Linked DNA regions of Macaca mulatta. The protein of the gene in region 1 interacts with the protein of each later gene in a pairwise test. Links are inferred from orthologs where the notes say so. Each region holds a gene or a part of one and is shown in the gene's direction. Other genes may lie near its edges.

Evidence for each region.
Region 2: the proteins of KAT5 (region 1) and CCDC136 interact in binary tests that used the Homo sapiens proteins (3 or more experiments, as listed by UniProt). The two-hybrid records come from large-scale screens. The link is inferred for Macaca mulatta from reciprocal best matches to the Homo sapiens genes KAT5 and CCDC136.
Region 3: the proteins of KAT5 (region 1) and ODC1 interact in binary tests that used the Homo sapiens proteins (3 or more experiments, as listed by UniProt). The two-hybrid records come from large-scale screens. The link is inferred for Macaca mulatta from reciprocal best matches to the Homo sapiens genes KAT5 and ODC1.
Region 4: the proteins of KAT5 (region 1) and ZC2HC1C interact in binary tests that used the Homo sapiens proteins (3 or more experiments, as listed by UniProt). The link is inferred for Macaca mulatta from reciprocal best matches to the Homo sapiens genes KAT5 and ZC2HC1C.
Region 5: the proteins of KAT5 (region 1) and APBB1 interact in binary tests that used the Homo sapiens proteins (3 or more experiments, as listed by UniProt). The link is inferred for Macaca mulatta from reciprocal best matches to the Homo sapiens genes KAT5 and APBB1.
Region 6: the proteins of KAT5 (region 1) and LZTS2 interact in binary tests that used the Homo sapiens proteins (3 or more experiments, as listed by UniProt). The two-hybrid records come from large-scale screens. The link is inferred for Macaca mulatta from reciprocal best matches to the Homo sapiens genes KAT5 and LZTS2.
Region 7: the proteins of KAT5 (region 1) and STX11 interact in binary tests that used the Homo sapiens proteins (3 or more experiments, as listed by UniProt). The two-hybrid records come from large-scale screens. The link is inferred for Macaca mulatta from reciprocal best matches to the Homo sapiens genes KAT5 and STX11.

The regions. Positions count from the first base shown.
Region 1 is NC_133419.1:8,680,893-8,684,898, reverse strand, and holds the start of KAT5 (histone acetyltransferase KAT5), read left to right. Parts: upstream 1-1,206; 5' UTR 1,207-1,440; coding exon 1,441-1,618; intron 1,619-1,948; coding exon 1,949-2,017; intron 2,018-2,104; coding exon 2,105-2,241; intron 2,242-2,503; coding exon 2,504-2,686; intron 2,687-2,775; coding exon 2,776-2,850; intron 2,851-2,956; coding exon 2,957-3,031; intron 3,032-3,677; coding exon 3,678-3,926; intron 3,927-4,003; coding exon 4,004-4,006. UniProt on the Homo sapiens protein: Catalytic subunit of the NuA4 histone acetyltransferase complex, a multiprotein complex involved in transcriptional activation of select genes principally by acetylation of nucleosomal histones H2A and H4.
Region 2 is NC_133408.1:168,424,754-168,429,034, forward strand, and holds the start of CCDC136 (coiled-coil domain-containing protein 136), read left to right. Parts: upstream 1-1,481; 5' UTR 1,482-1,512; coding exon 1,513-1,570; intron 1,571-1,981; exon of another isoform or gene 1,982-2,175; coding exon of another isoform or gene 2,176-2,218; intron 2,219-2,349; coding exon 2,350-2,457; intron 2,458-4,281. UniProt on the Homo sapiens protein: May play a role in acrosome formation in spermatogenesis and in fertilization.
Region 3 is NC_133418.1:114,369,730-114,372,588, forward strand, and holds part of ODC1 (ornithine decarboxylase), read left to right. Parts: 5' UTR 1-105; intron 106-210; 5' UTR 211-227; coding exon 228-329; intron 330-603; coding exon 604-777; intron 778-991; coding exon 992-1,164; intron 1,165-1,419; coding exon 1,420-1,554; intron 1,555-1,678; coding exon 1,679-1,760; intron 1,761-1,940; coding exon 1,941-2,024; intron 2,025-2,859. UniProt on the Homo sapiens protein: Catalyzes the first and rate-limiting step of polyamine biosynthesis that converts ornithine into putrescine, which is the precursor for the polyamines, spermidine and spermine.
Region 4 is NC_133412.1:148,262,367-148,266,604, forward strand, and holds the start of ZC2HC1C (zinc finger C2HC domain-containing protein 1C), read left to right. Parts: upstream 1-1,438; 5' UTR 1,439-1,817; exon of another isoform or gene 1,818-2,236; intron 2,237-2,618; 5' UTR 2,619-2,637; coding exon 2,638-3,966; intron 3,967-4,238. Other genes in the region: ACYP1 (acylphosphatase-1), read right to left, coding at 1,276-1,438.
Region 5 is NC_133419.1:59,372,656-59,376,155, forward strand, and holds part of APBB1 (amyloid beta precursor protein binding family B member 1), read left to right. Parts: intron 1-1,561; 5' UTR 1,562-1,575; coding exon 1,576-2,296; intron 2,297-3,500. UniProt on the Homo sapiens protein: Transcription coregulator that can have both coactivator and corepressor functions. Adapter protein that forms a transcriptionally active complex with the gamma-secretase-derived amyloid precursor protein (APP) intracellular domain.
Region 6 is NC_133414.1:113,059,187-113,063,377, forward strand, and holds the start of LZTS2 (leucine zipper putative tumor suppressor 2), read left to right. Parts: upstream 1-1,391; 5' UTR 1,392-1,634; intron 1,635-2,030; exon of another isoform or gene 2,031-2,297; intron 2,298-2,945; exon of another isoform or gene 2,946-3,375; intron 3,376-4,191. UniProt on the Homo sapiens protein: Negative regulator of katanin-mediated microtubule severing and release from the centrosome. Required for central spindle formation and the completion of cytokinesis.
Region 7 is NC_133409.1:49,410,910-49,415,169, forward strand, and holds the start of STX11 (syntaxin-11), read left to right. Parts: upstream 1-1,460; 5' UTR 1,461-1,555; intron 1,556-1,980; exon of another isoform or gene 1,981-2,287; intron 2,288-4,260. UniProt on the Homo sapiens protein: SNARE that acts to regulate protein transport between late endosomes and the trans-Golgi network.

The DNA.
Region 1 (4,006 bases):
CTCTGTCAGCCAGGCTGGAGTGTAGTGACATGATCTCGGCTCACTGCACACTCCGCCTCCCAGGTTCAGGCCATTCTCCTGCCTCAGCCTCCCGAGTAGCTGGGACCACAGATGCCCGCCAAAACGCCCGGCTAATTTTTTGTATCTTTTTTTTTTTTTTTTTTTTTTTGTAGAGACGGGGTTTCACCGTGTTGGCCAGGATGATCTCGATCTCCTGACTTCGTGATCCGCCCGCCTCGGCCTCTCAAAGTGCTGGGATTACAGGCGTGAGCCACCGCGCCCAGCCGTTTTGTCCAATTCTTTAAGATGCCAAGAATCTGGACACCCTCCACCAGTGACATCTTCACAGTTCTGAGGAGTATTCATGGGGTATTTTGTAGAATGTTTCTCAATTGGTATTTGTCTGATCTTTTTCTCATGATTAGGCTGGAGGTAGCTGGGATTTCAGGTGTGAGCCACCATGCCCAGTCTCCAAATCCTGTTTACGCAAAAATTTTTAAAAATTAGCCAGCCTTGGTAGTGCGCGCCTGTAGTCCCAGCTACTCAGGAGCCTGAGGTGGATCACTTGATCCAGGGAGGCGGAGGCTTCAGTGAGCGGAGATTATGCCTCCCCCGCTGCACTCCAGCCTGGGCGACACAGACCTTGTTTCAAAAAAAAAGCCTAATATGGCTGGGCGCCCTGGCTCACGCCTGTAATCCCAGCACTTTGGGAGGCCGAGGCGGGCGGATCACGAGGTCAAGAGATCCAGACCATCCTGGCCAACATGGTGAAACTCCGCCTCTATTGAAAATACAAATATTAGCTGGGTACTCTGGAGGCTGAGACAGGAATATTCGCTTGAACCCGGGAGGCGGAGGTTGCAGGGAGCCGAGATGGCGCCACTGCACTCCAGCCTGGCGACAGAGCGAGACTCCGTCTCAAAAATAAAAGAAGCCTAATACACGAAATAAAGCTAGAAATCTTCCCTGAGTCCTCCTGCCTACGGAATGAAGTCCACAGACCTGGGGGAGCGTTCGAGCCCCTCTAAGCACAGTTCCTTTCTCCAGCCTCTCGCGCGCAGTTCACTCCCGACAACACCTCCCGCCGCCACAAGGAGACGCCCGAGGACTGCCCTCCGTCAAAGCCCAAACGGTATTGCCACGTGACCCGCTCCGCATCCACGTGAACAGCGTCGCACCCGGTGGGCGTCACGTGACAGACTCAGTAGTTCTCCAATCGCTGTGCACGTTGTGGGGTTTCCACCTAGGACTCGGCCTGAGGCTTGTAACACTTCGTTTTCCCAGGAGTCACAGGGGCAGTCTTGCCCCTTGCAACTGGGTCGCGGTGACTCTCAAAGGTCCCCCTCTACAGGGGCTTCGTGAGGCCCGGGCCTACAGCGGGCTCGGTCCCGGAAGTGACGTCTCCCACAGGGGCCGGAAGTGGCAGTGGAGGGAGGGAAGATGGCGGAGGTGGTGAGTCCGGTGCCCGGGGCGGGGCGGAGGGAGCCAGGGGAGGTGGGTAGAGCCCGAGGCCCCCCAGTAGCCGACCCTGGCGCCGCGCTGTCTCCCCAGGGGGAGATAATCGAGGGCTGCCGCCTACCCGTGCTGCGGCGGAACCAGGACAACGAAGATGAGTGGCGTGAGTGACGTTGGGGGGCGGGGCTAAGGAACCTGAGGGCGAGGGGCGGGAGGGAGTCAACTGAACCCCCGGGATGGGGAGGGGCCTCTGGAATTATGGGGCGGGCGGGGCGCAGATACTCCCATGAAGGGGCGTGGCTCTTAGCTGCTCCGAGAGGTACAGGGCGGGGCCTGGAAAGGGGTGGCAGTAGTGACTGAAGGAGACTTAGGAGAGACCTTCTAAGTGCTGGAGCTTAGGGATCCGGCCTTGGGGTGGAGTTCAGGTCGTGGAAGGGTGGAGTCTCAGCCTGGCCCGGCCCGTCTAAGGCCCCTGCCTATGCTATTCCCATAGCCCTGGCTGAGATCCTGAGCGTGAAGGACATCAGTGGCCGGAAGCTTTTCTACGTCCATTACATTGACTGTGAGTTCTGGGCCTGAGGTGGGGCATCAGGGTAGGGTTGGGGAACAGTCTTTGGCATTCTGTCCTGAGCCATCCCCACTGCTGCAGTCAACAAACGTCTGGATGAATGGGTGACGCACGAGCGGCTGGACCTAAAGAAGATCCAGTTCCCGAAGAAAGAGGCCAAGACCCCCACCAAGAACGGACTTCCTGGGTCCCGTCCCGGCTCTCCAGAGAGAGAGGTGGTGAGTAGGTCCCCCACTTCACCTCTTCTCTCCTGCCTCGTGTTTCTCTTATCTGTTGGCATTAGGGGCTCCTGGATGGGCAGTAGGCGGCTCCCTCTCACCCTGACTTCATCTTGCAAAGGATGGGGGCCGAATTGCACATGTAGCTCCCAGAGTCCAGTAGCTAGTCCTGTGTCCTTCAGAAGGCGAGGGTGGGGTTTGATAATTTTGAGCTGAGGGACCCCTGTTCCCCTTCCCCATTCCACTGCCATCCCCGCCCCAGAGGAAGACCCTGGACCTATCTCTACAGCCGGCCTCGGCCCAGGCAAGCGGGAAGACCTTGCCAATCCCGGTCCAGATCACACTCCGCTTCAACCTGCCCAAGGAGCGGGAGGCCATTCCCGGTGGCGAGCCTGACCAGCCGCTCTCCTCCAGCTCCTGCCTGCAGCCCAACCACCGCTCAACGGTACCCTCAGCAATTCCAGGGACCTTGCTTTCTTCTCAGGTCCCACCTTCTCTACCTTCTGACCCACCTTTGTTGGTTTCTCTCTGCAGAAACGGAAGGTGGAGGTGGTTTCACCAGCAACTCCAGTGCCCAGCGAGACAGCCCCGGCCTCGGTTTTTCCCCAGGTGAGTTTCCCAAACCATTTCTTGTTCCCTTTCTCTCTTCTACTCTCTGGTGGCCTTTTTCAGGCTCATCTCACAGCCATCCCTTCTTTTACTACTATATCTGCAGAATGGAGCAGCCCGTAGGGCAGTGGCAGCCCAGCCAGGACGGAAGCGAAAATCGAATTGTTTGGGCACTGATGAGGTGGGTCTGGGGAGCAACAGAAGGAGCTGGGTGAAAAGGAAGGGATGCAAGCAGGGTGGAGAGTTAGTGATGAGTTTAAAAATAAAGAAGGGGTGGTAGGCGGGGCTAGTGTTGGTGGGATTAGGAGCCAGGCAGAACATGGTTCAAATGAGTCATTGGGGCTGGGTGCCATGGCTCATACCTGTAATCCCAGCACTTTGGGAGGCCAACCAAGGCGGGCAGATCACCTGAGGTCAGGAGTTCGAGACCAGCCTGACGAACATGGTGAAACCTTGTCTCTAATAAAAATACAACAATTAGCCAGGCGTAGTGGCAGGCACCTATAATCCCAGCTACTCAGAAAGCTGAGGCAGGAGAATTGCTTGAACCCCAGAGGTAGAGGTTGCAGTGAGCCAAGATCATGCCACTGTACTCCAGCCTGGGCAACGGAGTGAGACTCCATCTCAAAAACAAGGGTCATTCAGTGATCTTTTCCACATCATCAATCCCTTAGGGTTTCAGGTTTTTTATCCAGAAATTGGGGATCATGGTACCTCCCCCATAGGGTTGCTGTTAGGCTTGCAGGAAACCTGTCAAAGGGCTGTGAGCTGTGGTGTCCTGCTGAGCTGTCTCTTCTAACCTGGTATTTTCCACTGGCCCTGGGCAGGACTCCCAGGACAGCTCAGATGGAATACCATCAGCACCACGCATGACTGGCAGCCTGGTGTCTGACCGAAGCCACGACGACATCGTCACCCGGATGAAGAACATCGAGTGCATTGAGCTGGGCCGGCACCGCCTCAAGCCGTGGTACTTCTCCCCGTACCCACAGGAGCTCACCACATTGCCTGTTCTCTACCTGTGCGAGTTCTGCCTCAAGTACGGCCGTAGCCTCAAGTGTCTTCAGCGTCACTTGGTATGAGGGGTCCAGGGAAGCTGCCTTCCCAGCACTCTCCACGTTGCCCTTGTTCCTGACTGTCCTCTCTTCTCCAGACC
Region 2 (4,281 bases), on another chromosome or scaffold:
GACACAGGCCATAAAGACCTTGATGATAAAACAGCTTGCAATAAAGAAGCCAGCCAAAATCCACCAAAACCAAGATGGCAGTGAGAGTGACCTCTGGTCATCCTCACTGCTACACTCCTACCAGTGCCATGACAGTTTACAAATGCCATGGCAACGGCAGGAAGTTACCCTACATTGTCTAAAAGGGGGCGGCATGAATAATCCACCCCTTGTTTAGCATATCATCAAGAAATAACCATAAAAATGGGCAAACAGCCGCCCTTGGGGCTGCTCTGTCTATGGAGTAGCCATTCTTTATTCCTTTGCTTTCCTAATAAACTTGCTTTTACCTTATTCTACGGACTTGCCCTGAATTCTTTCTTGCGTGAGATTCAAGAACCCTCTCCTGAGGTCTGGATCCGGACCCCTTTCCTGCAGCGGGGGGAACGCAGACAATGTGAGTGAATGTGCTAGAGAAGGGATCTGCGTGTGTCCCTGGCTTAGGAATCTCCCAGCCATTTCCTGGATGTGCTGGGGAGCCCCTGTTGCGAACTGTACCCACTTCTATCCTTGCTGAGACCTGCCGAGATGTGAGAACTGCCTCTTCAAAAGCCGGCACCCAGTGGACATAGCTTGAATAAAAGAATGGTGGAAGACGTGAAATAAGCCCCCTGGGCTTCCAAATCTCCCTTCCACGAGAGTGAACATCAGTCGTGCCCACTCTCGCGGGCTACAGTGGGGGCGTGGCTCACAGCCCACCTGGTGTGGGACCGGAAGGGAAGGCAGGGCGGAGGAGAGGGGGTCTTCGGGCCCTGAGGCTTGGTGGGGCCACCGGAGGGCCCCCCTAAGAGGGTCCCTGGCCCTGGTTCGGTAGGGGGTCGCAGAAAGCGGAAAGGTCAGGGCCCTGCCGTTCGCCCATCAGGGCCTCGACTTCCCTCCTCCGGCCCCCAGGCTGCCGAGGGGCCACCGGGCAGGGCTGAGCAGGGCCTGAGGCCGGAGTCCGCGCCGACTGCTTGGTGGGGGCGCCGGCCGGGCGGGGGAGGGAAGGAGGGAGGGGCGCGCGTGTCTGTGCGCTTGGAGGAAACAGTCCCACCTCGTCCTTTGCTGTCCCCATTGCTGAGCATGACTGGGCCCTGACACCTGGTGCAGAAGGGTCCCTGCGCACAGCAGATCCCGGGGGGATCTGCTGCCAGAACCAGGGGATCTCGCTCCTCCCTCTTGGGACAGCCTTAAGCCTAGGAGCTCCTGACACTGTCCGGGCCCCGCAGCTCCCCACGCTCCCTCGGGGAGAGACTTGGGGCGTATCTGGGGTCGCGCTCACCCTCCCAAGCCGCCCCCTGCACCGGCTCGGAGCTCCCGAGTGCTGGGAGGGCTTCCGGGCGGCGGCGAGCGGCGGGGGGCGGTGTCAGGAGGCCCGGCCAGGCCCCGCCCCCTCTCCCGCCCCCCCCCCCTTCCTGCGCACCCGGCTCGGGTCCCCGGGCTCGCGGCTGCGGCTTCTGCTCGGGGAGGCGTAAGGCGGCGGCGGGAGCGGTCATGGAGGCGGGCGCCGGAGCCGGCGCGGGAGCCGCGGGCTGGAGCTGCCCGGGACCAGGTCAGAGCCGCCCCTCCCTCACCTCTCCACCGCCCCTCCTTTCTCTCCTCCATCCCTCCTCCCTCCAGACCCCCAGGTGCTCCTGGCCTCCGCGGCTCCCCCTTCTCCGCCCAGAGTCTTCCTCCCTCCATCCTGGCCTCCACCGGGGCCCGGTCTCCATCTTTCCGGCCTGGGGCTGGGGCTTCAGCGCACCGGCCGCATCCTGTCTGGTGGTCCCTCCCCAGCGCGTCTCTCCACTCCAGTCCAACGGTGCTTCCAGCCTTCGGGGCTCCAGACCCCGCACCTCCTGCAGCCCCGGAGATTCCTGAGCGCGGGGCGAGGGTGGGGTGGGCAAGGTCCAGCGAGAGAATGAGAGGGGAGGGGAGGGGAGCGGTCGCTGCCCTACCCCTTCCCACACGCCCCCCACTCCTCCCTCCCTCCGTAGGCCACCTCACCCTTTCAGCCTCTTCTTCACTGGCTCCCGCCCTCTTTCTGTCTTGCCCCTCTCCTCCCTGTCTCCCTGGACTAAATACGCACACCCCCTCTTTCTGTGCAAGCAAGAGGGGCCTGGAACAGGGGGTTCTGAGGAGGCTGGGCGTCAGGACTGGGGTCTCCGCAGGCAGAGCATGAGAGGTGGTGGAGAGAGAGAGGAGTCGCAGAGACGGGAGAGTGAGTCAGGCACCTCCACTGGGATTACAGATCCCAGAGCCCCGAGGAGCTGGAAGGCATGTCCCCTTCTTTGCACCCCAGCCCGCAGCCAGTCCCCCATCCCCCAGCCCTTCCTTTCTCCGTGCTCTCAGGACCCACAGTGACCACTCTAGGCTCCTATGAGGCCTCTGAGGGCTGTGAGAGGAAGAAGGGCCAACGCTGGGGCTCCCTGGAACGACGAGGGATGCAAGCTATGGAGGGTGAGTTTTCCCAAAAGGCTTCTTTCTTTCCCTTCCCCTCCTCCCTTAATTCCCTTTCTTCCTCCCTTTGACCCCCAGGCCTCTAAGCCGGGACACAGCCCTTCCCTCAGTTCATCTTAGCCCCTCTTCCTGCAGCTCAGAGCGCCAGCCCTTCCCAGGGCTCAGGCTTTGACGGAAGTTTAGGGTGCATCCCTTCGGGACCCCAGTCAACCCCCAGCTAACCAGGTTGTGTGTCCCTAGGGAGCTGCCAGACAGAGAAAGAGGCCTGGTTGGACAGAGCTTTGAAGCAGCCTTTCAGCAGGGGGTTTGTCCTCACTGCCTGCCGACCCAGATCCCAAGCTGTCTCTTATTATAAAAAGCCAGGAACTGGGCATGTGAATTGTCTTTCTGGGGCCACCACCATTAACTTCGAATGGAAGCCTGTGGCTTTGGTTCTCTAGGATACCTTACTGCCTGAAAGAGATTGCCTAGGAGGGGGCGTGTGAGGCCATCCTCCCAACACACGTGTATCCCCACCACACCCATGTGACTTGGCAGTTGCTGCCAACACCAGGCCCCTGGAAGGACGCTGGTCCATTTTCCAGGACTTTCTGTGAAGTATTGCACGTTGCACATTCAGTATGGGCAAACCTGCTCCCCCTAAGAGGGACAGATGGCACAAGGGGTCCCAGACGAACCTAGGGCTGCTGATGTTAGATAAAGTAAGACCAGAGATTCAGAATTTTAAAACAAAGCAAACAATCATCATCCAGACAACATTTTGCTATTTATAGGGACTGCATTGCAGTAAAGGAGCGGGTGCTCACAACCAGAGGCTGGGGGCCAGCACCAAACCCCAGTTTTTTTAATGCATTAAAATAGCAGGCTTTCTTTTACACACAAGTACAGCCTAAAACTTCCCCTGAAAGCTGCTTTGTGGTCAGCAGAGTAGGAGGGGCTTCATATGGCTCAGCTAGGGGAGAGGAGACTTTGTGACATGCAGCAGGGAAAAACAAGGTGGACCTTGTAGAAAATTTCAAACAGGTATTTAATAATATACATTTGAAAGGGCACCAGCGTTTATCCAATGAAACCTCTACAATCAGATATTTTCTTTCTCTACCTGCTGACAGGCAATGCTTTCTTATTACGGAAAGGCTGATTTTTCACAAGCCACCTGGATAGTGTTTTGTTTGGTTGTTTTTGTTTGTTTGTTTGTTTGAGATGGAGTCTCACTTTGTCGCCCAGGCTGGAGTGCAGTGGCTCGAACTCGCCTCCCTGCAACCTCCACTTCCCATTTTCAAATGATTCTCCTGCCTCAGCCTCCCAAGTAGCTGGGATTATAGGCATGTACTACCACGCCCAGGTAATTTTTTTGTATTTTTAGTAGAGATGGGGTTTCACCATGTTGACCAGGCTGGTTTGGAAGTCCTGGCCTCAAGTGATCCACCCACCTCAGCCTCCCAAAGTGCTAGGATTACAGGCATGAGCCAGCATTCCCGGCCAGTTTTGTTTTGTTTTGTTTTGTTTTTGTTTTTAACTTTTGAGAAATCTCCAAACTGTAACTGTTACCCCATTTGACCGAAAGATCCACTCACTGTCTCCTTTCTTGACTACTTGTCCTGCTACTCAGAGGCCAGCCTAGAAGAAGCAGGTAATCCTGTGCAAGTGTCTCATGCTGAGCGGGCACCAGCCTGCCCACAGGCAATGGTGGGAGGCTACCATGTGCAACATTGGTCCAGGAAGGGCCTGGGAGGTGGAGGGGCTGCCTCTCAACTTGACCCTCACACCTGAGGATTCATCTTGAGTATAGGTCTTGCCCAGAGGCACCTTGGGGGATACCAG
Region 3 (2,859 bases), on another chromosome or scaffold:
CACTGCTGCTCCAAGGGCACACGCAGAGGGATTTGGAATTCCTGGAGAGTTGCCTTTGTGAGAAGCTGGAAATATTTCTTTGAATTCCATCTCTTAGTTTTCCATGTAAGTGTTCAGTTTACATTTGGGTTGCAGGTTAATCTTAAGAATTGTATTGCTAAGGCTTCTGAGTGAATTTCTCCGCTCTATTTGCATTTTGTTGCATTTCAGAGGAACATCAAGAAATCATGAACAACTTTGGTAATGAAGAATTTGACTGCCACTTCCTCGATGAAGGTTTTACTGCCAAGGACATTCTGGACCAAAAAATTAATGAAGTTTCTTTTTCTGTAAGTATATGAGACCCATGCTGGCAGTGCAGCTGAGAATGCCAGGCAAGTGGAAAACTTTGGCAAGGTCTGAGGAAGAGCGGTGAGGCTTCTGTGTCTTGTTACGGAATGTAGAAATTAATTCACTGGTGGTAAATTAATAGTGATATTCATATCAGTGGCTAGACTCAAAAGAGCAGGATTCATTGTGACTGATGGGAAAGAAGGTCGATGGCTGTTGGTGTGGTGTGTGGTGAGACTGCTAGTGAGTCACCTGTGACCACTCTTGTTTCAGGATGATAAGGATGCCTTCTATGTGGCAGACCTGGGAGACATTCTAAAGAAACATCTGAGGTGGTTAAAAGCTCTCCCTCGTGTCACCCCCTTTTATGCAGTCAAATGTAATGATAGCAAAGCCATCGTGAAGACCCTTGCTGCTGTCGGGACAGGATTTGACTGTGCTAGCAAGGTAAGTAATAGCAGCAGGACTCAAAAGCAGTTGTATAAAACGGTCCTGGTATTCCCCACAGGGCAGATACAAGTTGTGTTTTTTGGGCAATAAATGCTCACTAAAGGCAGGTGGGTGGGGGTGGGGCGGGGCACATCACAACTTCCTATGCTTTTCTGTTTATTTCACCTGTTAAGCCACATATGGACAGCACGACACCACTCTTGTTTTTCAGACTGAAATACAGTTGGTGCAGAATCTGGGGGTGCCTCCAGAGAGGATTATCTATGCAAATCCTTGTAAACAAGTATCTCAAATTAAGTATGCTGCTAATAATGGAGTCCAGATGATGACTTTTGATAGTGAAGTTGAGTTGATGAAAGTTACCAGAGCACATCCAAAAGCAAAGTGAGTTATTCCCCCATCTGAGGGCAAGATCAGGGGCATAAGATACGTGGATTTTTATCAAACAAACTTAATTTTCTGATGATTATATTTCTGTACTTTAGTAGAAAGTTGAAACTCTCCTTGAGTCATGAAGCCTGGGACTCAAACTACAGAATATATCAGCGACAGTGTTTAGAACAGGATTGTTTTTATTTTAATCGTGGCTGTAAGTGAACATCTATCATGAGACATTTGCTGCACTTTCCTTGCTTGTAGGTTGGTTTTGCGGATTGCCACTGATGATTCCAAAGCAGTCTGTCGTCTCAGTGTTAAATTCGGTGCCACGCTCAGAAATAGCAGGCTCCTTTTGGAACGGGCAAAAGAGCTGAATATCGATGTCGTTGGTGTCAGGTGAGATCTTGGTGGGATAGCTGAAGGTCATTAAACAGTTTGAGGTTTACAGCCTTTCTCCTAGTGTTTGCTATTGTTTTAAGAAATACTAAGACACAGTGTCTTGTCTCTATTTTACCCCCAGCTTCCATGTAGGAAGCGGCTGTACCGATCCTGAGACCTTCGTGCAGGCAATCTCTGATGCCCGCTGTGTTTTTGACATGGGGGTGAGTATACGTGACCCCGTTAGCAAAGGGCGGGGCACAACTGACAATAACTAGTCTTAATTCTAGAGCTAACTTTTTCTGGCAGTTGGTCCTGTGTTACATGGGTTTCAGCCTATCTGCTGCATACGTTTTTGTTGTTTATTAGCTGTGGATCTGACTGACTGATTTTCTTGATTCTAGGCTGAGGTTGGTTTCAGCATGTATCTCCTTGATATTGGCGGTGGCTTTCCTGGATCTGAGGATGTGAAGCTTAAATTTGAAGAGGTAATTTAGAACAAAACTAATACGCAGTAGCTGTTTTAATAAATTCCTTTTTGGAATATTTCAAAATTTAAGTGTCTAAACTAGTACCAAAATGGGCTGAAGTGTCTTGGTGTGATACTTTGAGTGATTTCTTTGTGATGTCTAACATTGCACTTGATATCATTTGGTTTTCTAAAGTGTGAGTCAGCTTTCCCAGAAGTCTTGGATCATTAGTTACATTGGAAATCATGGCTCACACCTGTAATCCAGCACTTGGGGAGGCCGAGGTGGTAGGATCACTTGAGCCCCAGGAGTTTGAGACCAGTCTGGGCAACACAGTGAGACCCCGTCTCTACAAAAAAATTTAAAATTAGCCAGGTGTGGTGGTGGATACCTGTAATCCCAGCTACTTGGAAGGCTGAGGTGGGAGGATCACTTGAGCCCAGGAGGTTGAGGCTGCAGTGAGCCATCATCATGCCACTGTTCTCAGCCTGGGCTACAGAGTGAGACCCTGTCTCCAAAAAAAGAAAAAACATGTTGCTGTGGGCTTCCTGGAGAATATGCTAACAGTGGCACATCATCACCCCAAATGTGCTTTGCTCGATCTGTGCTTCCTCTCCTGAAAATATTTGAAATGTTTAGTCACTTAGGAAGTTAAGCCATTATATTGGTGCTTGAATTTATAAAATGCATCCACGTGGTTTGTTAAAATAATGACGTAGGCAGAATAGGATATTTATCCTGTTGGCATGTATTTGTTAAATAAGAATGTTTTGACGTCTTGATGCCTTCCTAGGTAGTAATTTGTTATGTACTGTTCTTTGATAAAATCATACCCATAACATCCTAAAGGAGA
Region 4 (4,238 bases), on another chromosome or scaffold:
TCGAGGCTGCAGTGAGCAGTGATTGTGCCACTGCACTCCAGCCTGGGCCACAGAGTGAGACCCTATCTCAAAACAAACAAAGTCCGGGCGTGGTGGCTCATGTTTGTAATCCCAGCACTGTGGGAGGCTGAGGCAGGCGGATCACCTGGGGTCACGAGTTCAAGACCAGCCTGGCTAACATGGTGAAACTCCATCTCTACTAAAAATACAAAAAATTAGCCAGGTGTGGTGGCAGACGCCTGTAATCTCAGCTACTCGGGAGGCTGAGGCAGGAGAATCACTTGAACCCAGGAGGCGGAGGTGGCAGTGAGCTGAGATTGCGCCACTGCACTCCAGCCTGGGCAACAGGGTGAGATTCTGTCTCAAAAAACAAACAAATTTTAAAAAACCCTCAAAACCAACAAAACAGAAAACAAAAACAAAACGCTGGGGTAAAGTGATGGAGTCAATTCCCGGAGGGTACTGAAAAGCACTAATTCAAGAGAACTCATGGAAAGTGGCCCTTCTTTCTCATAGAGGAGAGGGAAGGAGAGAGGGAGAGAGACAGACAGAGACAGAGACAGACAGAGACAGAGAAGAAAGGGAGAGAAGGAAGAGGAGAGAGAGAGAGAAAGAGAAAGCCCGTACATTCTGCTGAGGGAAGCTGCGGGAGTTGATAATTGGGACCCTGAGTAGAGTGGCAAACATCTGGAGCTGCATATATGTAGAGGTGGTGCAGGCAACAAGGGATGAAAACGAGGAATTAAAAAAAAAAAAAAAAAAAGAAAAAGAAAAGAAAAAAAAAGAAGGACTGACCTGGAGGGTCCACCAAGGAATTTCTTTGTAACAGGTAACAGCTGTAATATGACATGTTGAAGTATTAACACTGATGACTGCTTGTCTACATTATTTTCCAAGTGCATGAATTGAGTAGTTACAGGGAAAAAGCGAACTGCCTGTTCCCAACGTCCTACACAGATGAACTGAAACGAAGAAAAAAAAATAAACTTTCTTTTGATGTCAACAAGTTACAGAGTATCATTTACTGTTGAAACCAGGTTATACTGATTATTTTCGATCTGGTAGTTCTTTATTATCATTACACTTGGCTGAGTCATTCCTACGCCCTAAGTACAGACGGCTAGAGTTACCACGTGAGAGTAAAACATTATAATATCAAAATAATTAGATTGGCCACAAAAATTACCCCGGAAAGATACTGCGTAGCAAAAACGTTGGCAGCAAGTTCCAAAGACTTGGCGACGACAAGCAGGGAGCGCGCACGTGCAGCCATACCTGGGGCCCGCCCAGCGCAGCCAAGCGCGCCGAGAAAGGTCAGCAGCAGCCCCGCTCCCACCAGGCAGGCGGTCGCCTGCACCCTGCGGCGGAAGCACGCGGAGGCACAGCCAGGGCCTCCGCCCTTTGCCAGTGAAGGGCACACCCCAAGGTCTGGGAGCATCGTTCTCAGGAAAGTACAAGTTCTTCTTTGATGGAGCCCCAGAAAAGCCTCTCCCGCCCTTCCTCGGCTCCCCAAGGGCAGGGCTGGACCCGGCTGCAGAGTTGGCCGGACACTGACTGGGTCAAGTGACGGTCGGGCTGACCGCACCCCCCACCCCCGGTCGCCCCGGGTCGCTGGTGCACTGCGCCTGCGCACGCCTCCCCAAGGAGTTCGCAGCGAGGGGCGGAGCTTGGCCCGCCAGTAACTCGGTCTCCAGGCACCGGGAATAACAGAAGCTAGCTGAGAGCGCCTGCGCGGCCGTCGGTTGAGGGGGAGGTCGGGTCTGGGAAACTAGGCCCTGGGGTTTTCCCTGAGCAGGAGCGGTGCCCGAGGGCCTCAGGTACGCAGAAGGGCGGGGAGACAGAGGGTCAGCACCTCCTAAGGGCCCGAAGGGCAGGAGAGAGAGAGGACTTGTCCCCAGAGGCGGAGTCCGTAGTGGGGGCGCCCCAGTTGACCCTTCGGGACAGAACGTGACTTCAGCCTTAAGGATCTAAAACCGGCTGCAGCCAGGTCAGGTGGCCCTCAACGCTCAGGTTACAAAACTTTTACCGTCTGCGCCACGGGGACTCCTGAGATGAGGGTTTGACAGCCAGGCACCTGCTCCAGGCCCTAGCAGCCTCTGTGCTCTTTTGAATCAAGCACGGTTCCAGCAGGAGGGAAGCCCTGAGAGCTCTTTGTGCCAGTCACTACCTCTGGGCCACAGCTTGCTCACCTGTAAAATGGTGAGGATGGACTCGGACGGAACCCTTCAGTTTACAGGTGAAGAAACGGGGGCCAGCAAGGGAGAAGTCGCTTGTCCTGTTACAGGCCTAAAACCTGACTTTCAATCCGATGCTCTTTCCACTTACTGTAGAGTATACTGTGCGTGGCAGAGGCTGGTGCTGGAGGAGAGGAGAGCTAGGTGGCAGGAACACCTGTAGCACCTCCGTTTCTCTACCCTCAGGGCCTAACACAGTGTCTTGTGCATAGTAATCACTCACCAAATGGTTTTTGAAGGGAAGCTTTGGCAGATCCAGCACCACTGTCCCCAGAAAAGTTTAAGGAAATGTGGGCAGGGCAAATGTAGAAATAGTTTGCTTTAGCAGACGAGAGTGAACCTCAGACAAACTCTTCGCATGTATCTGGTTTAAATCTCCCGTAGGCATCAGTCCAGGCCCTGAATGGCTGGTCTCCAGCGGTTGGCATCACATCTGCCTGTGGGCGTTATGCTTCCACATAATACAACAGAAGCTCCAGGGCCCCACTCAGCCAAGCAAGACTCTTACGAACAAAGTGACTCTTCCCAGCAGTCCTTGAAGGGGCACCTGAGGAACAATTTCCAGAAGCAGCTTTTGAGCAACAAAGAGTTGACTCTGGATAAAGTCCACACTCACCCCAAATGGAACACAAAAGCCCGGAGCTACTCCTATCCCCACTGTACTGGAATCAGCCACCAAGATGCAGGAAGTGATTTCCAGGGCCAAGTAAAACAAATTTACTCATCAGGCCCTCAATCCTGGTATCCCAAAGCCAATAACCAGGACTTTATCCCCTTTACAAAGAAACGAGTTGGAGTGGACCGGGCGTACCCACTGAAACCCGTGGTCCACAGGAAGTCGTGCAGTACAGGTGAGTCTGGCACTGATGGGGACCAGAATGTCTACCCAAGGCCCCCTGAACTGAGAGAGTTTTCATCCAGGAACTTTGATGTGAGGAACCAGGTCAACTTTTCTGTGGTTGATCCTGTTCTTGCTGCCATGCAGGCGGAGAAGGCCTTGGCAAACTTGGACAGGATGGAGTGGGTGCAGATCCGAAGACTAGAAGCTGCAGGGGAGAGCTTAGAGGAGGAAATCCGAAGAAAGCAGATTCTCCTGAGGGGAAAGCTGAAGAAGACAGAGGAGGAACTCAGAAGGATCCAGACGCAAAAGGAGCAGGCCAAGGAAAATGAAAACAGAGAGCTACAGAAAATTATATTCCCCAGGAGCAGAGTTAAAGGTAATAACAGCAACACCACGCACAAAGCTGTCTTCTCCCCAGAATTTGATTTTGAGGAAGAATTTAGTAGAGACAGGAGAGAGGATGAAACTTGGGAACGGTCTCAACAAAATTCGAGTCCATTCCAGCTCTCTGATTATAGAATTCAGAGACTCAAAAGGGAAAGGCTGGTAGCAAGCAATAACAAAATTCGAGACCGAGTCTCAGAGCCGTCGATGGAGAAGTTCTCCCCGCCTTCAGAAACACCAGGCGGTGCTTTGCAGGGATCTGCCAGAAATTCCAGCCTGTCCATGGCACCAGACTCCTCAGGTTCCAGCGGCTCCACTGAAGAGCCACAGCTGGGTGAGTGCAGCCACTGTGGGCGAAAATTCCTCTTGTTCAGGCTGGAGAGACACTCCAACATCTGCAGCAGGATACAGGGTTCCAAGAGGAAAGTGTTTGACTCCTCCAGGGCCCGGGCTAAGGGCACAGAACTAGAGCAATACTTGAACTGGAAGGGGCCAGCTTCAGCCAAGGTAACAAGAGCCTTATGGATGTGACTTGGTGTGGGGATCATTGTAGGGGTCTGTTTTGTCATCATCAGTTTTCTTTAGGGAAAATTCATGTGTCATGTAGGAAGAATTGACGTCTAGAATTAACATTTCTTGATTACTACTGTATGCCAGCATTGTGATGGGAGCTTTGCATGTGATCCTCGCATTTATCTCTCATTTTATCAGTTCAAAAATCAAGACTTGGACAGGCTAAGTAACTTGCTTGAGGTCACAAACAGCTTTAAGTGGCAGAG
Region 5 (3,500 bases), about 51 Mb from region 1:
AGGTGTCGGGAGGGGAGCTGGCCTTGTAGAACAGGGCGTCCACTTCCCTGAAAGGCAGGTGGAGTTTGTGTGGGGCACCATGAGGCTCAGTAACATAACCAAAGTGTTTTCTGACACTGGCAGAGGAGAGGCCAAAGCGAAGCCTGGAGGAAATGGGGACTGATTCATACATTCATTCAACAAATATTAATAGAGGTCCTGCTCTGTGCCAAGACTACACTAGGCACTAGGCATACTGTATTTAACCAAAAAGGCAAAATCCTCACCAACACGGAGATTATAAATTGTAGTCTTGAGGAGACAATCATTAGACAAAGTAAATAACAAATTGGCTTGTCAGATGGTGACAGGCGCTGGGGAAGAGTTAGGGATTGCTGAGGAGGGACTGAGGTAGCCTGTGGTTTTAAAATGGGTGTTCAGGGAAGGCTTCACTGAGGCTGTGACATTTGGTCAAAGATCTGAAAGGCTGGGCCGGGCGCAGTGGTGCACGCGTGTAATCCCAGCACTTTGGGAGGCCGAGGTGGGCAGATCATGAGGTCAGAGTTTGAGATCAGCCTGACCAACATGGTGAAACCCCATCTCTACTGAAAATACCAAATTAGCTGGGCGTTGTGGTCGGCACCTGTAATCACAGCTACTCAGGAGGCTGAGGCAGGAGAATCACTTGAACCCGGGAGGCAGAGGTTGCAGTGAGCTGAGATCCTGCCATTGCACTCCAGCCTGGGTGACAAAAGCAAGACTCCATCTCAAAAACAAAAACAAACAAACAAAAACCCCAAAAAGCAAAGATCTGAAAGGCTGAAGGGCCCAGGGGAAAGGCTCCCATAGTGATCCAGGACAGGGCATTATAAGGGCTGGCAGAGGGACCGGTGCCCAAGGGGAGCTACTTCATGGAAATTGTCACCAAGATGTAGCTTCATCTGGCCAGCGGAGCCGTGAATTGCAACCGAGCACCCTCCCTCTGTGACCTGCCTTCCTGTGCCATGCCCTGTAGGGCTGGTTCTGCAGCTTATTTCCTCCTGTCCTCACAGTCCCTAGTATGGGGTGGGCTTGGGGGCTGGTTGAGCTGAGTGACTTATGGGAATAGGAACACAGCCGGAGGAGCTTACAGTGGTGGGGCTTGGGATGGAAGTGCAGCAGGAGAGGGGCAGTCAGTGATCAGTGTCCAAAACACACGAGCCAGTCCCACTCTAGTGGTGTTCCTGGCACAGTAAGCCCCGGGTGGATGAGCTGGGGGGTGGGGAGGCACAGAGAGCCATTGTGTGGAGGCCCTGCTGGTGGGATCGAGGGCGGAGCAGGCACCAGCTGTGCCATCCCAGAAAGCTCAGGGCAGGGGATATAGGGATGGGTTGAGCCTCAGACCTGGGCCTGGCCTGTGATGGGGACGATAGTGCTGGGACAGAAGATGAGCCCAGTCATTCTCATAGGATAGAGAGCCATGGGTGCTAGCCTGCTTAGTGCAGGGAGATGAGGAGGCACAGGGCGTAGCCCTGGGGCAGAAGCAGTGATGCTGCTGTTCTGGACCAGAGGCTCAACAGCATCTCCCTTCCCCACCCCACAGGAGCTGCCAAGGCCATGTCTGTTCCATCATCACTGAGCCAGTCGGCCATTAATGCCAACAGCCACGGAGGCCCCACACTGAGCCTACCCCTGCCTCTGCACGCTGCCCATAACCAGCTACTCAACGCCAAGCTGCAGGCCACAGCTGTGGGACCCAAGGACCTGCGTAGCGCCATGGGGGAGGGTGGTGGGCCTGAACCAGGCCCTGCCAATGCCAAGTGGCTAAAAGAGGGCCAGAACCAACTCCGGCGGGCCGCCACGGCCCACCGTGACCAGAACCGCAATGTGACCTTGACCTTGGCGGAGGAGGCCAGCCAGGAGCCTGAGATGGCACCCTTGGGCCCCAAAGGCCTGATACACCTGTACTCTGAGCTGGAGCTCTCAGCCCACAACGCGGCCAACCGAGGCCTACGAGGACCTGGCCTGATCATCAGCACTCAAGAGCAGGGGCCAGATGAGGGAGAGGAGAAGGCGGCAGGGGAGGCTGAGGAGGAGGAGGAGGAGGATGATGATGAAGAGGAGGAGGAGGACTTATCTTCTCCCCCAGGGCTGCCTGAGACCCTGGAGAGTGTGGAGGCCCCTCCCAGGCCCCAAGCCCTTACAGATGGCCCCCGGGAACACAGCAAGAGTGCCAGCCTGCTGTTTGGCATGCGGAACAGTGCAGCCAGTGACGAGGACTCAAGCTGGGCTACCTTATCCCAGGGCAGCCCCTCCTATGGCTCCCCAGAGGACACAGGTACCTTGTGGAGCTTGACATGGGCATGTGGGAGGGTGTGAGGGCAGAGGTTAGGCCTCTCATATAGAGGCCAGTGCCAGCCTGATGTGAGCTGAAAGCCCATGTCCTGAGGCCACAGCAGGCCATGTCCAGGCTTTCTCGTTCAGAGAGTGCTTGGACATTCTGGTAGATCTGACCATCATGCATGCCTGGATGGATAGATCTGTTCATTATGCATGCCACCATGGTTGGTAAGTGGACTAGTTTGTTTACTGGGCACTGACTAGGTAACTGGCCCTCTACTCAGCATTTTCAGGCTTTATCCTCACAGTAAAGCTGTGAGGTAAATACTATGATTATCCCCATATTACAGATAACAAAAAAGAGACCCAGAGAGGTTTAGTAGCTTTCTCAAGACCACAGACAGGCTGAGATTACAATAGAGCTGAGATCTAGACCAGGTCTGAGTCCAGGTCTGAGCTCTTGGCCCTGTGTTACACTGCCACCACAGCACAGAGCACAGTGCACTTAGGTGCACTTGGGACAGTCTGCCCCGTTTTAACAGGTCACGTCTGTGGGGAGCTGCTGTCAGGAGTAGGATATTGACTAAAAGTTAGAAAAGAAAACGCTTTGGGTAGGGGGAGGAGAGTAGATACTAGGATTCCAGGGCTTAATAATTAAATATGTCCCATTTAAATCAGCTGAGTCTCCACATTTTCTAATGTCATGTAGAGAATACAGGAAAAGCTGAGGAACAAAGGATGGAGATAATGGGCTATAGTCACAACCCTGGAGTTCTGTAGATGGGGGTCTAAGAAAGATTAGGAAAGATCCCCATCTTCACCAGGCAGCGAACACCATACCCATACCCCAAACTGTGCAATCTTTGTAGAGAACATGCAGTTCAAATGAGCCTAGGGCTGCACACCATCCCCGTTCGAAAAACTCATTCTGGACATTTTCAAACATATACAAAAGTAGAGAGAAAAGAATAATGAGCCTGATTTACCCATGACCCAGTTTTACCAATTATCAATACATAACTAATCTTGCTACCTACATGCTGTCTTCCATTCCTAGGCCCAGCGTAGGTTATTCTGAAGCAAATACTTTTATTTATAAATGTTTACAGCTGGGTGCAGTGGCTCACACCTGTAACCCAGCATATTGGAAGGCTAAAATGGTCAGATTGCTTAAGCCCAAGAGTTCAGGACCAACCTGGGCA
Region 6 (4,191 bases), on another chromosome or scaffold:
CTTCTAGTAGACATCCCCACACAGCACAAACCAGAAGGATGAGGTGGAGGGGAAGCTAATACTCTCCCCAGCCCCACCCCCTGCACAAACACATTCTACTCCATACCTGCCTTAAACACCCACATCATGATCGGGCCCAGCCTGTTCAGATCCCTGGATTCTAGAAAGCAGTGGGGGGTCCCTAGGGCCTGTGCAGATTCCCTGGGATAGGACTGGTCTGCCTACACCCAACTGGATGTTAAGAATCTCCCTGACTCACAGGTTCAGTGGATTGGGAAGAAAAAAAAAAATTCAAAAACATTTCCCCGAGAACTCAGGAAAGGCCTGGCTAAGCCAGGTCCAGTTGGATCTACAGCCTTGTCCTCTAACTGATAGTGTATGTCACACTTGGCTATGAGGGGGCAGCTTTGGTCCTCCAGCAGCTTCCTCTCTGCTGTGGATGGGTTTAATAATAAACAGCTCGGCCGGGTGTGGTGGCTCACACCTGTAATCCCAGCACTTTTGGAGGCCGAGGTGGGTGGATCACGAGGTCAGGAGTTCGAGACCAGCCTGGCCAATATGGTGAAACCCCGTCTCTACTAAAAATACAAAAATTAGTGTATTTTGTATTTTTAGTGGCGTGGTGGCACATGCCTCTAGTCCCAGCTGCTCTGGAGGCTGAGGCAGGAGAATTACTTGAACCTTGGAAGCTGAAGTTGCAATGAGCCAAGATCGCGCCCGCTGCATTCCAGCCAGGGCGACACAGCGGGACTCCGTCTCAAAAAACAACAACTCACCGAGGTCTCCAGCAGCCCATATGGCCCAGATACCTAAAGACCTTCCCACATGCTGCCTTGAGTGCCATGGCGGGTGGGAGCCCCTGGGGCCTCCCTGCAATACAGGACAACTTCCTGTTTGTGCCTGTGGGTAGGATTTTATGAGTCTAAGAGAAGCCCAGTCATGCCCCGTGGGGGGTCAGAACCGGCAGGCCTGCTCACCTGGGCAGACACCTACTCTAGGGAGGGGGCTGTGCTGGTTCTGCTTGGGCAGCCCCACGCTGAGGTGTGTGCATGGTGGGGGCAGGTGGGAGCTGCTCTGGTGAAACTCGAGCCTCCTTTGTCTGATTCCCAGGGGTTTTCCCTATATTTGGGGATTGGGTCAAGAGTGGACCGGGTTGGGCTCCCAACGGAGCAGGGAGGGTGGCAGAGTCAAGTTCTATAGGGCAGCTTAGTTTAAGGCAGCCAGGTAGTCGAATTATCGGTCACGAGATGCTCGCCCCCTTCCCCACGTCAAAAACCAAATCCAGTAAACTGTGAAGGCGAAGGCCAGAGGGGCAGCCTCGGCCACCGTCGAGTCCCTGTGGGGCTGGGAACTGGGTAGGCTGTTGGTGGAGTGCGGGACAGACCCCTCCCCTCCCTGGGTGGGGGGCGCGGCCTGAGCCGCCCCGCCCCGCCCCACCAGGTCAGGCCAGGCGGGCGCCCGGAGCCGGGAGCCGGGAGCCCGGAGCCGGGAGCCGGGAGCCCGGAACCCGGAGCCCGGAGTTCGGAGCCCAGAGTTCGGAGCGGGCTAGGGAGGCGGCGTTGTCGCGGCAAGGAGGTGGGCGCGCTGGAGCAGGAGCGGGGCCAGAGCTGGAGCCGAGGCGCAGGTGGCGCTGGGTGAGTGGTGGGGCCGCGGAGGTGCAGGAACTCCTGCTTCCCGCACATCCCCGCTCCTGAACGAACTTTCCGCTTCTGGGGAAGCTAGGGGTGGAGTGAGGAGGGGGGTCCGCACTTGGTGGGTCGCCCGCGAAGAGTCCAAACAGGGAAGCGACACGAAAACGCACGCCGACGGGCCCCAAACACGCGTGCACAGACCCACGCCCGCACTTGGGACACGCGAACACACATGCAGTCGGAAAGGACGCGCCCAGTTTTCTACCCTTGCACTCCCAGGGACAGCGCCAATCAGCCCGCGCGGACCCACAGCGGGCAGGGCACTCTGCGGTCGCGCATTGGGTGCGGGAAAGGGGCAGCCCCGTGACCGCCGACGGGGGCGGGCCGGGTGGGACGCACCCAGAGGTTCCTGCTTCCTGGCCGCCCACAGGTGAAGACGAAGACGTAAACAGGCGCCGGGCACGTGACAGCTCCGCACACCAGTGGCCTGTGCCCCCAACCCCACCACGAGGCGCGTTTGCTTGGTTCCAGGCCGGACGGCGTTCCATTCTCCTCCTGGAGCCGGGATAAGCCCTCTCCCAGGAACCGGAGCACAGCGCCCCCTGGAGCCGGGGCGGAGCAGGAGGGCCGGGCTGCTGGGCAGGGCTGGGGTTAACCTGGGCTCCTGTACGTCCTTCCCCCAGCACATTCTTGGTATCTGCATCCCCGAAGGTTTCGGAGACAGGCCCTTGATGGCAGTGGACAGCTGCCCCCGCCTATTCCCGCCAGCCCAGAGAGCAGCTGCCTGAGCGCCTGCGGGTCCCCTTCCTACCCTCACCTCCACTCCTTGCCGGAGTAGGAGTCTCCTCCCCCGCAGAAAATGCATGAGTGTAAACGCCCCCTCAATACCAGAGTGGGCCTAGACCCCTAGAAAAAGGAGGACGAGCCCCTGCCCCCAGGGAATGAGGGAGTGGGCAGTAGCTCGATGCCTTCTTCCCGCCCCACCCCCTACCCCTACACACACGCTGAGCCCAGCTGCCGCCTGAGCTGGGCAGGCTGCCAGAAAGGGGAGGAGGTTCTCGGTGCCCCAGGAGGCAGGGATCAGGGCAAGGCCAGAGGAGGGGGCTCTGTTGGGGAGAGGGGCTCAGTCTGTTCTTGTGAGGCTGAGGGTCTGGGGTGAGTCTGAGGGTGGCTGGGCTGTGTTTCCCTTTCCAGGGAAAAAGAAAGAAAAACAACCCTGTCCATGGAGCTAAAAATAGAGCTGAGAGCCGGCCAGGGCTGTGGCCTGGAAGGGGGGGATGCTCCTTCCTGGGGCCCGGGCGAGCTCTGGCAGGCCTTGGCCCTGCGGGGGAGGGGGTGGTTAGGGGAGAAAGGCTGTCTTTGCCCAGGGATGCAGGCATCAGCTGACCTGACCGGGTCACCGAGACCCCTAGGGGAAAGGCTGTGCGGTAGAATATTTGCGAAGCATGGCTGTAAGAAGTTGTCTGTGTGAGTGACTGTGAATAGAGGCTGTCAATGCGTGAAAGATGGTTAGGAGACTAAGTGCATTTGAGACAGTGACTGGGTGCGAAGGACTGCGGATTGTTGTGGAAGCCTGTGCCCAACAGGCCTGTGACACCGTGTCTGTGTGTGAGTTGGACTGGAAGATTATGGAAAGAAGGAACGCGGACCCACGTGACAGCTGAGACTGCTTGTGGCTGCGTGGTGAGGCTGCATGTGGGAAAGGTCGCGTGGGTGTTAGGGAGACTGTATTGTGTGCGAGAAGGTGAGAATATTTGCGACCTTGAGAAAGTGGAATGTTGTCTGCCGTGCGGCTCCTGTAGGTTTGGGCTGTAGGCTTGGACCGGTTTGCCCCAGTGATTGTTGGGGAGCCAGGGGCCGCTTCTCTCCGAGAAATGACCTCTGTCTTAGCAAGCGGTCCCGAGGGGAGGCTGGGGAGCACGGGGCCGCGCCAGAGGCCGGCCTGGGTTCGCGGGGAAAAGGGCACCGTACCGGGGAGTGGGTCAGGGCCCGCGTGGTGGGGGGCGGCTGGGTGTGTTCTCCGAGGGGGCCGCCAGGTGGCGCCGCCTCTGCGAAGCCCAGGTTGCCGCCTCCAACCCGCCCCTGGTGAGGCAGGTGCGGACACAGCCTCGGCCTCCGACTCGCGCTAGGGCGCGGGGCCCCGGCACCGGAGAGTGGGGGACGGCCGGTCGTCGACCTCTCTCGCTTGGGACTCTGAGGCTGAGAGCGTGTCAAGGAAGCTTCGCTTGGAGAAGCGGAGGGGGAGGGGCGGCCGCCGCCGTGCCGTGGCCCTTTGTGCTGGAACAATGACCAGCTGCCGCTGGCCCCGGGGCCCCGGCTGGGGCGGAGGGTGACCACCGCCGCCGCCGCGTCGAGCCGAACCGAGCCGCCGGACACGCAGTCACAAGGCGTCGGAGGCAGGGCTCCCGACTGCCGCCGAGCAGCCCCTACGTGCGCCCCGGGCGATTCGCGTGACGCGGGTGCCTGCGCGTGTCCCTGCGCGTGTCCGCGTCCCGGGGCGGAGACGCCCCTCGGACCCTCCCCCGCGCGGCGCCGCCCACTCGCACTGGGCGGGGGCTGG
Region 7 (4,260 bases), on another chromosome or scaffold:
TTTCCCCTTTCCACATTGTACTATTTTGGAGGAAGTCACTGTGCACAGCCTAGGGTAGATGATCTACATAAATTATTTGGAATTATTCTGTATAGGAGATTTGTCTCCTCTCTGCCATTTATTCATTTATTTATTTATTTATATCAGTGTAGACTCATGGATATTTTTTACTTTGGTTTGTAATCCAGTACTACTTTGTTCAGTTTACTTCGTTGCTCAGTGGTTCCATCTTTGGCAACTGGGAGCTCTTTCAGGTGGTTCCTGTGTTTAAACATTCTCCCATCAAGACAGGATTCGTTTATTTTTATTTTTTATTTTTTTTCTTCTCATTCAATTGAGGCAGCGTCTCATTCTGTCGCCCAGGCTGGAGTGCAGTGGCGCGATCTCGGCTCACTGCATCCTTGGCCTCCCGGCCTCAAGTGATCCTCCCACCTTAGCCTCCCGCGTAGCTGGGCTCACAGCGCGTGCCACCACGCCCAGTTAATTTTTTTTTATTTTTTGTAGAGATAGGCTTTCACCATATTGCTCTGGCTGGTCTCAAATTTCTGGGCTCAAGAGATCCGCCCCCTTCGGCCTCCCAAAGTGTTAGGATTACGGGCATGAGCTACCGCGCCCGGCCCGATTTTTCCTTTCTTGAGTATCACTTCCTTACTTTTCAGCCTCAGCCTTGTTTTTCAAGGTGCTTTACCATCACCTGACACAATCCACACTTTATGTTTATCTCTCCCCGTTAAAGTGCCGGGACCTGGAGGGAGGGTCTTGGCAGTGTTTTTGAGCGCGGTGTTATCCTGGGAATACAAGGGGCCGCTCAGTTGATATCCAGGGAATGATGAGCCTGGCGGGTGTTGAGGCCGACTGGAGATGGGTTGGCCGGCCGGGTTCTGGGAAGGCTGTGCTCGGCCTCTGTGTGACCGCAGGCTCCTCGCCCGCCTCCTCGAGGGTCCCGCGGATGCAGGACCTGCTGCAGCCTCCGCAGCCACACCCACGCTCAGAGACCGCTTCCAGCGTCCTTGCCGCAGAAACGCACCGGACTGCAAATGTCACCGGCGCAGCGGGGATTCCCGGGGAAAGTCCATCGCACTCCCTGACCTGGGGACCAGAGGATGAGCGGAGGAAGTGTCTTGGGCGGCTAACATCCCACTCCCTGCGCCGGTCTGCGCCGCCCCCGGGAACGCCCCGGGGCTCGCGGGAGGGGCTGGAGCGAGTCCCCGGCTCCGGGCGGTCCCGAGCGCACGGACTCCGGGTGGGGCGGGAACCCGTGCTCTGTGAGCCGGCTGCTGCCGCGCCCCGGCGCTGTCATCCCGGGGCGGGGCCTGGTCCCCAGCTGTGGTAGCTTCCTAAGCGGCGGGGGCTGAGCCGGCGGCGCCCAGATGCGGCCGCGGCGGCGCGGAGCTCGGGCGGCTGTGGAGGAGCCCAGCCTCGGCCGCAGGAGGCGCCGGGAGCAGAGCCGCCGGGAGTCGCGCAACAGGTTTCCTTCCCCATCGCGGCGCCCACAGGGGACGCGCGCCCTGCGGGGAGAGAGGCTTCTCAGTTCGCGCTCTCGTTCCGGGTCCAGGTTTGTTTTTCTCTCCCTGAGCCCCCATTTCTCTTTCTGACCCCCCATTTCTCTTCCTGACCCCCCATTTCTCTTCCTGACTATTCCCCGTGCGCTGAGAGATCCGGGAGGCGGGCGGGGGCACTGTCTGGGCTCGGGACCCGCGGCTGCGCCTTAGTTGGGATTTTGGATCTGGCGCAGGTCCTCACGCCGCCTCTGGGCACCTTCGGAAACACAGGATTGGGTTCCTCATATAAAGCGGAATGATTTTTTAAAATTACTTTTAATTTCAGAGGCTGAGGGATTTAGGATTTAGTGCTTCACAGGAATTATTTTAGGGATACCTGTCGGTAGGCTGCCTTTTTAAAGTGTCCACCTAAGACTATTTTATTTTAAATCGAAAGACTGAAGTGTTTTTGTGTTATCACCTCTTCACTTCCTATTAGGGTGACTGTGTCAAAAACACCAGAATGGGTACTTCTTGACTTGAACTTGGCAGTGTCACTCAGTAGCCAAGAAAGACGGAGAAATTGATAGAGCCTTGGAGCAGTCCCTTCGCAGCCCACGTAAGACTTTGTTTTAGAAAAATGGAGAGAAGTAGTGGCAATGCCTGCGAGAACCACGCCGTCCTGAGAGGGAATTCTGCCTTTTTCTAGACTCCGCTGACACCAGCTGAGATCTGTATTACTTCCTGTGGTTCTCACGCGCTTGTTTCAGCCGTTTCTCAGCAAAGGGAGGAGCTGTTATTTACAGGTATCCAAAAATGAGTCACAGGGCTGCTCTCTTAATTGTGAGACTTTGTTAATGAACTTTTGAAAAGCGAGGCTTGCTCTGTCTGTATTTAAAATGAGACTGTAGATGTGAAATGCCTGCCCTGCTGACCTGGGGCAGTGGTATGGGAAGTGACGATTGAGTTTTCAGTTTCCTAAGGCGCCTGATGTTACAACATGCCAGTAAAGGTCACTGGGTTGATTTAAGATAACCACTAAAATCATGTGCTTTGCCTCAGAAGCCCAGGAGAAAATTAATTTCATTATTCAATGACCATTTTGCTACCATTTTCACTGAATAGTAGAAATGTATCATTTAATGTGGTGATTGTAACTCTCTAAAATCAAAATATTTCAGACAGTGTGTGTTTACTAAATTGATGCCAAAACCACATGGTGCTTTTTGAAGCGGGTGGGTCCCAGCGGGAGCAGAGAAATTTAAAAGTTGAAGCTGACAGGCCCCACTGTGGTGGGTAGCAGCACCTAGGAAGGGACTGCACACTATCTCAACACGGTAGAGAAGGGAGCACCATCTCTACTGGAGCTGAGTTGAGCTGAATTCAGTCCCAAACAACAGTTAACAGGTACTTTCTCTGTGCCAGCCTCTTCCCTGAACCTTGCTTGTACAACCATGAATAATAGGATCCTGCTGACAAGGTGCTAGGGTAAATCTATACCCAGAGTGAAGTTTCTGTCCCAATATAACTCAATCTGCTGGGTTCCAGTGTATTTAAAGAGTAAACTCAGCAGATTACCATCCCTAGATCATTGCAGTCACCTTTAGTTAGCAGCGTGACTTTTAGGAAATGGTATGACTAATTAATAGGTTGTTTTGTTTTGTTTTTTGAGACAGAGTCTTACTCTCTTGCCCCACACGGGAGTGTAGTGGTGCAATCTTGGCTCACTGCAACCTCCTCCTCCTGCGTTCAAGCAATTCTCGTGTTTCAGCCTTCCAAGTAGCTGGGACTACAGGCACCCACAACACCCAGCTGACTTTTGTATTTGTAGTAGGGACAAGTTTGGCCCTGTTGACCAGGCTGGTCTCGAACTACTGACCTCAGGTGATCTGCTTGCCTTGGCCTCCCAAAGTGCTGGTATTGCAGATGTGAGCCACCATGCCCTGCCTAATACTTTATAAATTTGTAACACTATATTGAAGCAAGTTTTTGATCATTGTTTTTGTAGTTCAAATCAATGTTTTTTAGCACATTATAGCCTTGTGAGCCAAAATGAATAAATCTACCATATCACAGTTTACTGTTACAATTGAAATCTGCTGAGACACTTTTGAACTTGATGCCCAAGTATCAAGGTTTCCAAGTTTCCACAGTTTGCTAAGATATCCAACTAATAAAGGCAACACTGCTAAATTTCAGACAACTTTACCTTAATTTCCAAACTTTATTCCTCCTTTGAAAGCCCTGAAGTTACTTTTTCTATGACAAAGGGTTGAGTGTGTCATTCAGCATTGTACTCCCTGAACTTGTCCCAGGCTCGACTCATGAGAAGTGTTGGAAAGTGTCATTCAGCATTGTACTCCCTGAACTTGTCCCAGGCTCGACTCATGAGAAGTGTTGGAAAGTGTTTATTGATGAAATAATGAACCTTCATGTAGGAGGATGAATTGGCAGGCAAGTGGAAGGCTCAGTGACCCAGCAGAAGGAACAGCACCCATAGAGAAGTGAAACAGCACTGGACATTCAGGAAACTCCAGCCTGTTTAGTGACAGCACAGAGCGAGGGCTGGGGAGACAGGAAGGGCCAGATCACAAAGGCCCCATGAGGGTTTATAGTACTGAGCCCTTTGAACAAGTGAATGATATTGTCAGGTGTGTGTTTAAAAAATTATAACAAAAATTGGAATTTAAAAAATCTTAGATTAGATGACAGTGGCATTGACTTTAGGGAGACACCTTGGAAACTGTTGTCATATTGCAGATGGGACATTAAAGAAGGC